Nothobranchius furzeri: one gene and its partners. The protein of the gene in region 2 purifies or fractionates together with the protein of the main gene of each other region. This does not show direct contact. Links are inferred from orthologs where the notes say so. Each region holds a gene or a part of one and is shown on either strand. Other genes may lie near its edges.

What was found. The genes of interacting proteins can lie anywhere in the genome.
Region 1: the proteins of gpn3 (region 2) and polr3b purify together in Homo sapiens (affinity purification with mass spectrometry; 3 studies listed by BioGRID and IntAct, counting the BioPlex papers as one, with this or other methods). This does not show direct contact. The link is inferred for Nothobranchius furzeri from reciprocal best matches to the Homo sapiens genes GPN3 and POLR3B.
Region 3: the proteins of gpn3 (region 2) and polr2j purify together in Homo sapiens (affinity purification with mass spectrometry; 4 studies listed by BioGRID and IntAct, with this or other methods). This does not show direct contact. The link is inferred for Nothobranchius furzeri from reciprocal best matches to the Homo sapiens genes GPN3 and POLR2J.

The regions. Positions count from the first base shown.
Region 1 is NC_091744.1:73,559,267-73,563,987, reverse strand, and holds the start of polr3b (DNA-directed RNA polymerase III subunit RPC2), read left to right. Parts: upstream 1-1,771; 5' UTR 1,772-1,887; coding exon 1,888-1,959; intron 1,960-2,201; coding exon 2,202-2,234; intron 2,235-2,546; coding exon 2,547-2,603; intron 2,604-2,681; coding exon 2,682-2,746; intron 2,747-2,825; coding exon 2,826-2,901; intron 2,902-3,021; coding exon 3,022-3,122; intron 3,123-3,228; coding exon 3,229-3,320; intron 3,321-3,410; coding exon 3,411-3,528; intron 3,529-3,597; coding exon 3,598-3,706; intron 3,707-4,234; coding exon 4,235-4,357; intron 4,358-4,721. Other genes in the region: endouc (uridylate-specific endoribonuclease C), read left to right, coding at 26-147, 615-727, 812-962, 1,029-1,304. UniProt on the Homo sapiens protein: Catalytic core component of RNA polymerase III (Pol III), a DNA-dependent RNA polymerase which synthesizes small non-coding RNAs using the four ribonucleoside triphosphates as substrates.
Region 2 is NC_091746.1:47,857,490-47,862,203, forward strand, and holds the start of gpn3 (GPN-loop GTPase 3), read left to right. Parts: upstream 1-1,748; 5' UTR 1,749-1,968; coding exon 1,969-2,016; intron 2,017-2,149; coding exon 2,150-2,258; intron 2,259-4,486; coding exon 4,487-4,654; intron 4,655-4,714. UniProt on the Homo sapiens protein: Small GTPase required for proper localization of RNA polymerase II (RNAPII). May act at an RNAP assembly step prior to nuclear import.
Region 3 is NC_091743.1:77,208,044-77,212,316, reverse strand, and holds polr2j (DNA-directed RNA polymerase II subunit RPB11-a), read left to right. Parts: upstream 1-1,704; 5' UTR 1,705-1,922; coding exon 1,923-2,065; intron 2,066-2,616; coding exon 2,617-2,725; intron 2,726-3,459; coding exon 3,460-3,561; 3' UTR 3,562-3,623; downstream 3,624-4,273. Other genes in the region: protein phosphatase 1 regulatory subunit 15B, read right to left, coding at 1-667; deoxynucleotidyltransferase terminal-interacting protein 1, read right to left, coding at 3,948-4,056, 4,234-4,273. UniProt on the Homo sapiens protein: Core component of RNA polymerase II (Pol II), a DNA-dependent RNA polymerase which synthesizes mRNA precursors and many functional non-coding RNAs using the four ribonucleoside triphosphates as substrates.

The DNA of each region.
Region 1 (4,721 bases), on a different chromosome or scaffold from region 2:
TAAAAATGTACATTTATGCTTTTAGGCTTAATGAAACTCCTGGACAACTATGAGCGGTCTACAGGCATCACGGAGCGAGTCACAACAGAGGAGCAGACAGAGATCAGTCTCTTCCTGGATGCTGTTTTAGAAACTCAAGTTATGAAGGTGACTTGTTGCAGATTTTGTTACTTAGATGTCTTTAACCTCTCATCGTTTCATGCATTTTGTGGTTTGAAGCTGCAGCTGAACACTGCAGAAACTCGACTCATCGTGATGTTTGAAGAAAGGGAAAAAAATAACAAAACAGGCAGCTGAAACATCTGTGTGCAGCTGTGGAATGTTGTGTTGGCCTCAGTGGGCTCCCCAAAGAGGATCACTGGAAAAATGTGAACTTTCAGTACTTGTTTTAGGAGGAAATACTTTTCTGGTCCAGTTAAACCCATAAAGTGTTTCTTACTCTATAGTCAGGGAACAAAATTGTTTTACATCACGTTTTGATTCAATTAACGTTTCAAAACACTGCCTCAAAGGAAAGGTATAAGCTGCAGCTTTTATTTATCATTTGCAACATTAACTGTTCATTTGCTCAAACTGGAGAAACTTTCTGAGTAATCTATGTGATTTCTTCTCAGCGTGCCCATCAGTATCTGGTGAGCAAAGGAAAGTCCAGGTCTGACTTGAGGCTGTTCAAGAGTCAGCTGAGCTTGATCTGGTTTCATCTTTACCACCGACAGAGGAACACGGGGTGGGAGTCTGAACATCAATGCGTCAGAGTCTTTTATCACTTTGTTTGTGACGATAATAAGTAACCATTTTGTTTGTGTGACAGCCCAGACTCTTGTGGGTTTGAACACGTTTTTGTTGGTGAAACCAGATCCGGAACAGAAATAATTGGCTTTCACAACTGGGTTCAGTTCTACCTGCAGGAGAAAAACAGCCAATTGGATTACAAGGGATACAAGGCCAGAGAGCACGACTTGGTAAGTTCACCACATGGAGGAGACGCATCTCTGTCGGCACCATCTCATGTCTGCTTCCACCTGCAGCCTGACCAGGATGACCACGTTTTGAACCTCCAGTTCAGCTGGCACGGTGTGCTGAAGCCCGTCGGCAGTGCCTTCATTGGGACCAGCCCTGAGTTTGAGATGGCCATCTTCACCATCATCTTCCTGATGAACACAGAGAGGAGCACCACAGTGCTGGTCAACATCGACCAGTGTCAGCTGGAGCTGGTGGTCGTCAGGCAGGGACGTTGTCTGGGGACGGCATACCCCAAACTGCTCAGCAGCAACAGCAGACATGTCAGGGGGCACGCTCGCTGACCCTGTCCACACCTGAAATGACAGGTGGTGTCTGTATGGAGGCAGCAAACTGAACATCCATCATGACTGTTCTAAACTTTATTCAAAAATGTAGAAGATGCTTTTAATAGAATAGTTTGTGTTGCTTTTATCAGCATAGCGTTAGAGGATCAATTGATTCAATCAGATTCCTTAGTTTTTTCCTCTGCTTTAGTCAAAACCAAAAGCATTAATTCTAATTAATTTTCTATTTATGCTTGAAAAAGTCAACGTGTTTTTCCAGTACATTAAGTTACTTTTTGTTTGTTTCTCGTACTAAATAAAACAACTAAGTAAAACAATCAAAAAGTGAATTTCTTGTCTTTTTTTGTTTCAGTAACGTTTTGCACCACTAGGTGGCATACGTTTATTAAACTGTTGAGATCCCGCGACCTCCGAAGAAGTCGTTCCAGACGGAACTATGTAGTTCCGCCCAACGTTTCTACGTACGCTTGAAATTGAAACACATAGCTGGGACGCATGCAGCCGACACTTCCTGCGTGTTGTGTCAACACTAACGTTATTTATATTTTTAAATGTTTAGAGTAGAACAGCAACGGTGACTATGGAGCTGCTGGGAGGAGAGTTTGGAGAAATGACTCCTCAGGAGTTGGCGGCTCCTGTCAACACTGTGGCGGTAAGTTCGGGGAAAATCGGACAAAAAGGTTTTTACACCACGAGTGCAGTGCAGTAAGCTAATTCAACAGATTTAACTGATGGTGTGGTGCAACGAAGCTTCTTAGTTGTTAAATGAGTCTGGAATTATGTCACAGCTGGAACATTGTAGCATTAAATCCAGAGTTTGGCCAACCTCGGCATAAAGTGCTCCAGAAACGGAATAATTTAATTAATTAACTGGTTTGTTTCTCTTCCTGACAGGAAAAATGGAAGTTGTTACCAGCCTTTCTGAAGGTAACACAATAAGTAGAATTATCCCCCCCCCCCCCCCCCCCCGAGGAAAATCTAGACAAATATTTAAGCAGAAATTTCCATTTATAATCCAGATTTTTATTAATTCTACAATTTGAAGACTTCTGTTGTATTTTTAATTTAATTTCCGACTTTTGTTAGTTAATTTGATCTAATCAGATTCATTAATTTATGAAAAGTCAGGTTTAAATAATTAAAGTTAATCCCTTTAGCCCTCAGTGACCTAAGAGTTTAACCATGAGATACATCCATGCTCCTCTCTTTTTTTCTCTTTCATCTCTGTGTGCGTTGCAGGTGAAAGGTTTGGTGAAGCAGCACATTGACTCGTTTAACTATTTCATTAACGTTGAGGTAAAGCTGAAACCCACCAACCGGGCTTTTACTCCTCTGTTTAAGATTTCACTTCACTAAAAGCATCTTGTGTTTCAGATCAAGAAAATTATGAAAGCAAATGAGAAGATCACAAGTGATGCTGATCCACTGTGGTACTTGAAGTAAGTTATTCAATCGTTATATTACTGACACGCCCTTTATCTTGAATTGGAGTTAATCTGAGAAGTGGTTCCTGTGCAGCTACCTCAATATCTACGTTGGGATGCCCGATGTTGAGGAAAGCTTTAACGTAACCCGACCGGTTTCTCCTCATGAGGTGAGTCTGATCAGATGAGATCATGTTTCAGTCTGACAGGTTTGTAAATTAAATCCATCAGTGGATTTATGGGAATATTTGTTGATTATTTTGCTTAAAGGAGAAATTCTGTTTCCACAGTGTCGCCTCAGGGACATGACCTACTCGGCGCCCATCACAGTGGACATAGAATACACTCGCGGCAGTCAAAGGATCATCCGAAACGCTCTGCCTATTGGAAGGTTTCTGATTTTTGACTCATTCTAATTTATCTCTCAAATTCTGCATTTCAGCTTTCAAAACTCGTCAAGATGTTATTGTTAAGAGGATTCTTTCTACTCGTGTCAGGATGCCGATCATGCTGCGAAGCTCGAACTGTGTTCTCACAGGAAAGACTCCCATGGAGTTTTCTAAACTCAACGAATGTCCTCTGGACCCAGGTACACTGTTGTTAAAAAGGATCTAACTCTAATTCTTAATGTTTTATTCTGGTCCTCTGTTTGACAGAGTTGTGTTCTTTTGATTTTCAGGAGGTTATTTTATTGTAAAAGGCCAGGAGAAAGTCATCCTGATCCAGGAGCAGCTGTCCAAGAATCGGATCATTGTGGAACAGGACAGGAAGGGTGCAGTCGGCGCCTCGGTTACCAGGTAGGAATAAAGTTACAGCTTCCTCCCAAATGAAGGAGTTAGACAGTTTAACTTGTTGTTTTGTTTCAGCTCCACTCACGAGAAGAAAAGCAGAACCAACATGATTGTGAAGCAGGGTCGGTTCTACCTGAGACACAACACGCTGTCTGAAGACGCTCCCATCGCTATTATATTCAAGGTAAAACCAGTTTAAGTACGTCCAGTAGGTGGCGCTGCAACACAACTAAAGAGAAGATTTTCTCTGCAGCTCTGATCTGTGTAAAATCATAATTGATAAACTCATGCTGTGGGAGGTTTTGATGAACTCTGTTCATCAGCCGGAGTGAAAATGTCAGTGGAACAGCTGGTGCTGTGATCTCCCATCACCTCTGGAGAAAAGCTTTTCTAACACATTACCTTGTGAGTGTCTGAACCCTCGGTTCTGTTTGCTGAGAGCTCGTACATCCTGGACTGCTCCTTCCCCACCTCCTTCTGCGACCTCATCTCCTCCGTGGAGCACACGAATCAGTTCCCACAGCTTCACATTTCCATAAGCAAATGTCATGCACCCCCATGACTCCGAGCTAACCTCTCTGACCCCCACCAACACTCCACCTCCTAATGTTTCAGCTCATATAGTCTCAACGTGGTTATATATTGAAATGATTTAGTTCACCCCTTTCACATTAGTCCCTTGTCTTCTGCATCATGTCTGTGACCCACACAGGGTATGGGTGTAGAAAGTGACCAGGAGATCGTTCAGATGATCGGCACCGAGGAGAACGTCATGGCTAGCTTCGCCCCGAGTCTGGAGGAGTGTCAGAAAGCCCAGATCTTCACCCAGACTCAGGTATTTCAGTAAAAAAAAAAAAGCCACTGGTTACATCAACATGTTTTACAGGCTAATCTCAGGTCAGGTTACCAATCTGGTGTTTATGACGCAGGTACAGATGAGTTAATTTTACCCCTCCTCTTTGTATACTCAGTGGTTCCAAAAGTCTGGGTCAGGGTCCCACTGTGGCTCATGAAACACTTAGCTTTGGTCTAGAGACAAAAATCTTAGGCCTAGTCCACACGTAGCCGGGTTTTTTAAAAACGAATATCCGCCCCTCCAAAAACTTGCATCCACACCACCGCGTTTTAAAAACAAACTCTGTCCACACGTACCCGGATAAATACGTTGTTAAGGACATGCCAGACCTGTAGGCGGCAGT
Region 2 (4,714 bases):
CCCACTTCACCCACCTGACTCAAGTCTGAGTGAAGTCACCCCTACCAGAGTCACTCCACCCCCACTTCCTGTTTGAAAAATGCAACAAATCCTGTTCCCTAGCACACTGAGGGCGCAGCTGCTAACAAACACACACAGGCTGTTTCTCAATATGCATACTTGTGTGTACTCACATCCTTGTGAAACGTCATCAACGATGGCCCAAGGACTGTTCCAATCCTAAGTATGCAAGTTCGCTCAAAGTTCCCGGATGTGATCTTGCTCCGCCCATTGTATCGAGGATGCCTCAATGCATCATTCCGCGGACATAACGCATGGCGTCGCAACCGTTATACTCTGAACGTCAGAGGAGAAAGCTAATAACTGTAATGTTTTGTTTTAATGTTAAAGTGCAAAACTATTGACTACACGTGTCTGCAGCATGATTAGACACTCATTTATATAGTTTATCTGCAAGAAAAAGTTGATAAACTTATTTTGATAAACTACATAAATGCATGTCTAATCGTGCTGCAGACACGTGTAGTCAATAGTTTTGCACTTTAGTTAAAATTTAAAATTTCTGCCTAAAACTGTCAGTGTTCTGACGTTGTCGGGTAAAAACTGCACTGCATTTGAATTTAAATCTGCCATCGCTATTGGCTAATACGTACCCTAAAACATTAGCTGGTACCATATGATGACACAAACTTGTTGTGAGCCTGTGTGTGCATTTGTTAGTGGCTCCACCCTCTTGGTCTGCTAGGCAACAGCATTTGTTGCATTTTTTCAAACAGGATGTGGGAGTTGAGTAAGAATCTGGTAGGGAGTGACTTGCTCTTTAAAGCTAGATTTAAAACATAACTTGAATCAGCTGCTTTTAAAGTTGTGACCTTTTCCATTCATGTAAATAATTTATTAACTTTAAAAATTACATAACACATACTTACTTACGAAAGCTCCTTGGTCACGAAGATTAGCTAGACATTGCTGTTTAATTAAAAACGTCTAAGAAGAAAAATGATCAAATAACCCGTGATGCACTGCGGTGGGTTTGAAGCTAATAATGACTTGATCTAAGCTACTAAACACCTCTCGCTGTCTTCGACTTCCCTTTCTGCAATAAAACAAAGAGTGAACGCTGAAAAACGTAAAAATATGTTTCGTTTGATAGTGAAGGGCGGTGTTATCGTGAACACCGCTGCAGTAACAGCGAGTCTGTAAAGTTCACTTTCGAAAACTCCCAGATAGATAATGGCAAATGTTTGAATCATTAATCGAACTCTCGAAGCTAATATTTCTGACTAACTAACAAAATTGATTTAGCATGCGCAGCTACTTTAAAGCCAAACCATAACACACAAAGCAACCCAATAAAATAAACACTCGATGCTTTACTGTATACAAAACCATATTGGATACCTACCAACAAGATTTTCGCTTTCACGCGAAAGTTCTTCTACTAGCTTAACTTGTCAATCAACTCACTTTGTCTAAACATTTAGCCATTTTTATAATAAAGTTAAATGATGAAGACAAGTGACCAGGTCAAGTATTTCTGACTGTGTTGTTGCTGCAACACTTCATCGTGATGTAGTAGTTTGTGTCTTCCTCGTGTTCTCTAGCTACCTTCTACTTCCTTCTTTTTTCTGTCAATACCCTCTACCGCCATCTACTGTTAGCTAAAATGTATACAACAAAAATCTGCTGTTAAGGCTAATCAAATGAGCTAAATCATAATTATTCTTTACACATTGAAGAAATTGTTAGATGTTTAGGTCACGTTATAAGATAAATAAATACATTTGAATTTTTGTTCGCGGTTCAATGTGATAATTCACCAGCTAATCAAGAGGGGGCAGTAGTGAGGCAGGCAACCGGATGTTACGGAAAAGCAGAAGAAAAACTCTCAGGTCAACAGTTAGCTAACTGTGAGAAGCTACGTGAACTAAATTAACCAGGTCACAGGTGTGGTAAAGGTGGGATAAAATGCCTCGTTATGCCCAACTAGTGATGGGCCCGGCGGGCAGCGGTAAGGTAAGTCATCGCTGATCACGCTGGACGTCATAAATGCTTTCTTATGTTATAATGCGTTGCTAACATGTTGAGCTAAGGCAAGTGCTACACAAACTATAACTTCTGTCTTCGTTTTTTTGGTCTGATATTTCAGAGTACTTACTGCTCCACCTTGGTCCAGCATGCAGAGGCCTTAAACCGATCTGTTCAGGTGGTAAATCTGGATCCTGCTGCTGAGCATTTTGACTACCCTGTGATGGCAGGTAAAGACTTTTAAAGATCACATCAGAAAGGCTTAATAGGAAAACAGAAATTGTGTAAAATGAAGAAATTCAAATAGATTAGGTTAGGTTTCATTGTTACATGGTGATCACTTGTAGTTTCGGATAAAAAATATGGAAACACTTTGTGATTGTGATTTTGTGGATTGGTCTTTTTATTTAAATTCAGTTTAGTAAAACAATTACTTCTGATAGGATTACCGTAAATCCTCTAATACAGGCCGGTATTCAATTAAAGGCCGGGTCTCCAATTTTGGCCGGTGTCAGAGTCAGCGGAGGTAAATAATGGCCGGTCTCTTATTGTGGCCGGATGGCATGTGGTAACAAGCAAGTACGAGCGTCCCAGCGGCAGGGTTATAGTTCCCAAATCAACCAGCAGGAGGCAGTAGAGGTTCACGCAGACCTTTATTAGGCCTTTTCTTCAACGCTTTGTAACGCTACAGACACGATCCTCTATCACGCTCCTACCACACAGAGTCATGGTGTCAGTTAACCATGCTAATTCAACCCACTCCACAGAACACACATCACCTTCCCTGTGGCTTACATAACACTCACACAACACGCAAATCAGCACATAGGAACTAGCAGAACGATAGGAAACACATATAACACAATACCCAGAATGCACCTGGCTTACAACCCCAGCCAGGTCATTACACTATCAAGTTCAAAGAGAACGTGCTGATTATGCTGCAGAACACTCTGGAGAGCAGCAGTAGGGTGTGTATGAACTACAGTAATCCCTCGTTTATCGCGGTAGATGCGTTCCAGACCTGGCCGCGATAGGTGAAAATCCGCGAAGTAGGGACTCCCAGCATGCCCCTCGCGGGGATTCCCTTCACGTCGCACCTACGTCACAAACCGCGGCTATAAACGGAAGTTGCCTTTCCAGCTCACCACTCAGTCATCGTTTCTTCAGATTCACGATCAGAGTTTCCAACCTACCGATCAATCCAACGAACTATCAGCTCATAGTAAGTTATCTTACTTACTTCTGGAAAGCCCGGCATTTCCGTGTCACTTCGTTGACGCTCGAACGCTCGGGGGTTTCCTAGATCAGCCGGCGTTTCACCGACGCTCTCACTTCCGCGTCTGTGAAACCACGCTCCCTATTGAATTATCGTATGATCACATTCTCTTTTTGGGGGTAAAACTCAAGTGCCAGACCGTAGGTACTGACACGCGATCGTTCATGTCGGTTAATTTTTAATGTTTTCTGTCTTTTATTTGCGCCTGATGTGTATCGCTGCTGTGGAGCGGGGCGCATCAACTTGTCCTCCGACGCACAGATCACAGCAGGGAGCGCTCAGCTGTTTTCGCGGTCGGTAGATCTGCCTCCTGAGCACGGCCACAGTAACAATCAGGTGTCGCCACCTCAAAAACTAATTTAACACGCGATCGTTCATGTCAGTTCATTTCCTTTAATTTTTTCTGTCTTTTATTTGCGCCTGATGTGTTTCGCTGCACGCTGTGGAGCGGGACGCTGCGCGCATCACCTTGTCCTCCGACGCACTGATCACTGATACAGCCGCCAAACAGCAAGCGCTCCGCTGTTTTTGCGGTCGGTAGATCTTTTAGAACTGCAGTTCAAAGGTAACTCATGAGGTGAATATGAACCCAGGCAGCAGTTTTTCTTTAGGATTGAGAGGAGATGCAGGAAGATAATAAACAGACAGGACAGAAAAATAGTCAAATAAAAACAAGTTAGTTTTTGTACCTGCTGTTGCAACAAACAGACACCATTGAAGGTCATCAGAAGTGAGGAACAGAAAATGAAATAATTATTTTAATGTTTAGAGCAGCAGGAACTCCGAGAGGCTGCAGGCGCATCAGTGAGTTTGCGGCCGCTGCGCAGGGGGAGGGGGGAGAGGGCTGAAGCAGGGGGAGGGGGGAGAGGGCTGAAGCAGGAACTACCGTTGTTAAAAGAAATGTGTTTAACTTTGAAAATGTGGGCGCACTTTTAATTGTCAAAAACTCCAGCGAACCATAGTTCATTTTGCTCAAATAGAAATAGAGGCCTGCCTCTAATACTGGCCCTCCTTCCAATAAAGGCCTGGAGCTTGATGAGCTTGAGTCAAATACAGGCCCGGGCCTGTATTAGAGGATTTACGGTAACTCACAAGTACAAGTAACATCAGGAGGATTTTTTAAATTAATTACTTTCTCCGTGAAGCACACTATATTTGATTGCAGTCCTGCTTTGTCAGACATCCGTGAGCTCATCCAGGTCGATGATGTGATGGAGGATGACTCTCTGAAATTTGGCCCTAACGGAGGTCTGGTCTTCTGCATGGAGTACTTTGCCAACAACTTTGACTGGCTGGAGGAAAGTCTGGGCCATGTGGAAGATGACTATATTCTGTTTGACTGCCCAGGTGAGTAATCTGTTTAACAAACATAACTTTAGTATTGGCTGTTAAGTTTGGTCTAATTGA
Region 3 (4,273 bases), on a different chromosome or scaffold from region 2:
TCTTTTCAGCAACATGTGTCTGGGCTGCAGCCTGAGGACAAAGATAGTATGTCTCTGCCCCCTCCTCAGGCCGGTAATATCCCGACAGCAGCCCCCTGGCTGGGCTCTCCTCGCCCCACAGAATGCTACCCCTCCACCATGGTCCACCTTTACCTGTGGAGCCCCCCATTACCGGGAAGCTCCCTGGCACACACACCTTTCCTCCGATGTGTTCCTGAGAGATCAACTGAACCTGGGTAAAAAAAGTCCCGACAGAGGAAACATATACGCTCGGTATTTGCTGGCAGAGCTCCATCTCCCCGGGGCTCTGACAGTCCCGCAGAGACGCAGCGGACCTGCTGACCCATGACTCCAGCAGGCCGGTTGCCCCCTCGTGCTGACACTGCAGGTGGGTCAGGTGAGCAGGTGCGGACTGGCTGAGGGGCATCATGCCATTTAACTGTCTTAAAGTCTCACTTTCTTCACTCATCAAGCTGCTTCTGAGCTCCGCCGGAGCGATGTTCCACTGGCGGAGTTTCCGCCGCAGCAACAGCGCGGGCCTTGACAGCAGACGGATCCACGAGCTGTCCTGGCTATCCTGTCCGACCGATGTGACCGCGGGGCCGGGTGGGTGGGACGAGCGTTTTCCTCCACACGTACATTCTTCGGCGTTTATGTTTCTGAACATTTTATCTACTTAAAGTGCACAAATGAATTTCCCTGAAACAGCAGCGGTTTTAGCAAGTTACACTGACAGCTGTCAAACCTCACTAGAACATGTTAAAGTGGCCGCCAGGAACCCAAAAGATAACGTCCATAAGCCCGGAGCCGGCGACATTCCGCTGAGAGTGGTGGTTAGACTTCCTCCGTGTGGTACCGGAGCTGGAAAACTGAGCCGAGCTGAACATGCTAGAGCCGTGAAACGATGATAAGTCCCAATGTGAAGCGGAAAAACGAGCCATCCTGTCGGGGCTTATCGCGGGTGGGAGGTTCTGCTGGGTTAGCAGGTTAGCTTAGCACGAGAAGCAAACGGCGGTTAGTTTACTTCCCAGCGACGACTTAAAATTATCGATTTAAATTCCGCTTTCTGGTTGGTTTCGTCGACTGTTGATGGAAGGGAGTTCTTCCCACCGGTAATACTGCCCGGTATCCGTTCAGAGAGGAGTTTTGGCCCCCGCACAACTCCGTGAGTCTGTCTATATGGCTGCAGTGGGAGATTTCATCAGAAAGTCAGAAGACCATCAGCAGAAGCCCCGCGTCTTCCTTTTCCGGGTAAACGGCAGACGGTTGGCGGCGCGGCACGGAGCGGCACGAACGCGCGGCAGAAGCGGAGGCGCGGAAAGTTTCTCCAGTTCTTTTTCAGAGGGAGCCATTTTTTATTTTACTCTCGATGCACTCCTACACGAATCTCATTAATATAAAGTAATTATTTATGCTATAGGAGGAAAAAATAGGACATGGCGTCACACGCTGTAAAGGTATAGCTCCTCTGAGTCATGGGTGCATTGAGGAGACCAGATGGTAACACCACCTTAAGGTGACATCTGGTACCATCAGGGGTGCCATGGGCAGCGTTTTGGCTAATCACCTGGTAAATTGCAGAAAAGCAGAGAGTGACACTGAAACGTGTGTTTCTGGTTAAAATGAACTGTGTTTGATGTATTTTGTTCAGGTCCTAGCTTTTATTAAACAAAAAAATGCTGCAAATTTTACATGAACCGTGTTTAGGTCAAACATGTATTATCCTAATATTGTGAAAGTAAACATTTTCTACGTGCTGCAAATTTCTATTATTGATTTAAATATGCAGTTTCGCTTATCGTGCTGCAGGTGGCGGTAATGCCACACAAAGCTGATTTCCTAACAGTCTTTAAACCAGACAAAGAAAGCTGAGCGGAAGTATCCTAGTGGTTCGGTTCGGGGTTCTTTGCTCCAGCACAAACATGAACGCACCTCCAGCCTTCGAGTCGTTTCTGCTCTTTGAAGGAGAGAAAAAGATCGGCATCAGTAAAGATACCAAGGTCCCGAACGCGTGTTTGTTCACTCTGAACAAGGAAGACCACACACTGGGGAACATCATCCGAGCGTAAGACACACACACACACACACACTCTGAGGAACATCATCCGAGCGTAAAACACACACACACATACACACACACACTGAGGAACATCATCCGAGCGTAAAACACACACACACACAGGGGAACATCATCTGAGCGTAAGACACACACACACACACACACACACACACACACACACACACACACACACACACACACACACACACGCACGCACGCACACACACACACACACACACACACAGGGGAACATCATCCGGGCGTAAGACACGCACACACACACACACACACACACACACACTGGGGAACATCATCCGGGCGTAAGACACACGCACTGGGGAACATCATCTGGGCGTAAGACACACACACACTGGGGCACATCATCTGGACGTAAAACACACACACACACACACTGGAGAACATCATCTGAGCTCAAGGACACAATTTGATATTGGAAAGAAAAAAAAACCTGACAGCAGCCGGCCTTCGCCTGTGGGAGGAGCTCTGACACAGGTGTCCTGTCTGGTGGCCCCTAATTGTGTGTTTTTGTGTGTCAGTCAGCTGCTGAAGGATCCTCAGGTTCTGTTCGCGGGTTACAAAGTTCCTCATCCTCTTGAGCACAAGATCGTCATCCGAGTGCAGACCACACCTGACTACAGTCCACAGGTAACCCATCAGGTCTTCAACACCAAATAAAGTAAAGATGGCTGTAGGGACTTCACCAGAGAAGTGAAGGAATGTGTGCATGCATATATATATATATATATATTTTTTTTTTTATATATATATTTTATTTAGGGTCCGTCGTATTGTCGAACCTCAGATTCAGGAGGACGAATGTGGTTTTCATCCTGATCGTGGAACACTGGGCCAGCTTTGTACCCTTAGGGGGGTCCTGGAGGGTGCGTTAGAGTTCACCCAGCCAATCTAAATGTGTTTGTGGATTTGGAGAAGGTGTTCGACTGTGTTCCTCAGGGGGCCCTGTGGGGGGTAGTCCAGGAGCATGGGGTACCAGGCCCTCTGACACGGGCTGTTAGGTCCCTGTATGACCGGTGTCGGAGCTTTGGTCCGCATTGCCGGCAGGACGCAAACCAACAGGAGTCAAGATGGTGTAAGCTGTGTTCTTAAACAAGATCATTTCTCATTGGTTTAGATAGAGGGGTTGGGGCATAAAACCTCTACTGGAGCCAGCCTCTGGAGGCTTTTCAGATCTTTCAGCTTCAACTTCTGCACTGTCCTCCAGCTGGTCTTTATACATGTTGGTGGTCTAAGCCTCATGATGCTGTTGGACCCAAGTGGGTCTGGATTTGTTTCTCATATGTTTTGTGTCTTGATTGGTTGAGACACAATAATGATAGAAATTGGAAACCTAACCAAATGTGATGTCATTTCCTCCACAGGAAGCATTCACCAATGCCATCACAGATCTGATCAGTGAGCTGTCTCTGCTGGAAGAACGCTTCAGAGTTGCCATCAAAGACAAACAGGAAGGCATCGAGTGACCCTGACCTCTGACCTCACCTCATTTTGTTGTTTTGTTTTTCTAAATAAACTTAAGATGTCAGATTCTGTGTTTAGTCAATACCTTTTACAAGTATTTCGACAAAATTGCCAAACACTATTAAAAATAGGGTTTGGAACTAGATCTGATCCCACTCAGATGTCCAAAGGAACAGCTGGTATGGAAATCTTCACCTGTTAATTCTAGCATTGATCAGCTGATCTTCAGGAAGTGATGTCACCTCTAAGAATTTAAACTATATCAAACAAAACAAAATAGTTGTCAATCAGATTTAATTGAATATTCTTTTAAAAGAAAAGCAGTAAAAAATAAAAAAAATCTGATTTTGTGATGTCACATGCCGTGTGGCCCCTGATCATGTGACCATCAGGGGTCAGAGTCTCTCTGAGCCTCCATGGCTCGCTGCATCTTCTCCACCATCCACGGAGGAACGGAGAACGGCTTCAACTCGTCCATCCTGACATCCGGACAGTCCCTAAAAGGGATGCAAGTTACCACGGCAACCACACACATCTCACCAGCTATCAACTACATCATCAGAACAACAAATGCTAGAATAAGGTCAATAAAACTGGTAGCTGGTTCTGTTCTAGTGATTAAACTGTTTTCTGCAGCTGGATCCAGAAGTTTGTGTTTCAGGTTGGATACTAACTTGTACTCATCGCTGTGAGACAAATCCTGGATGTCCTCTT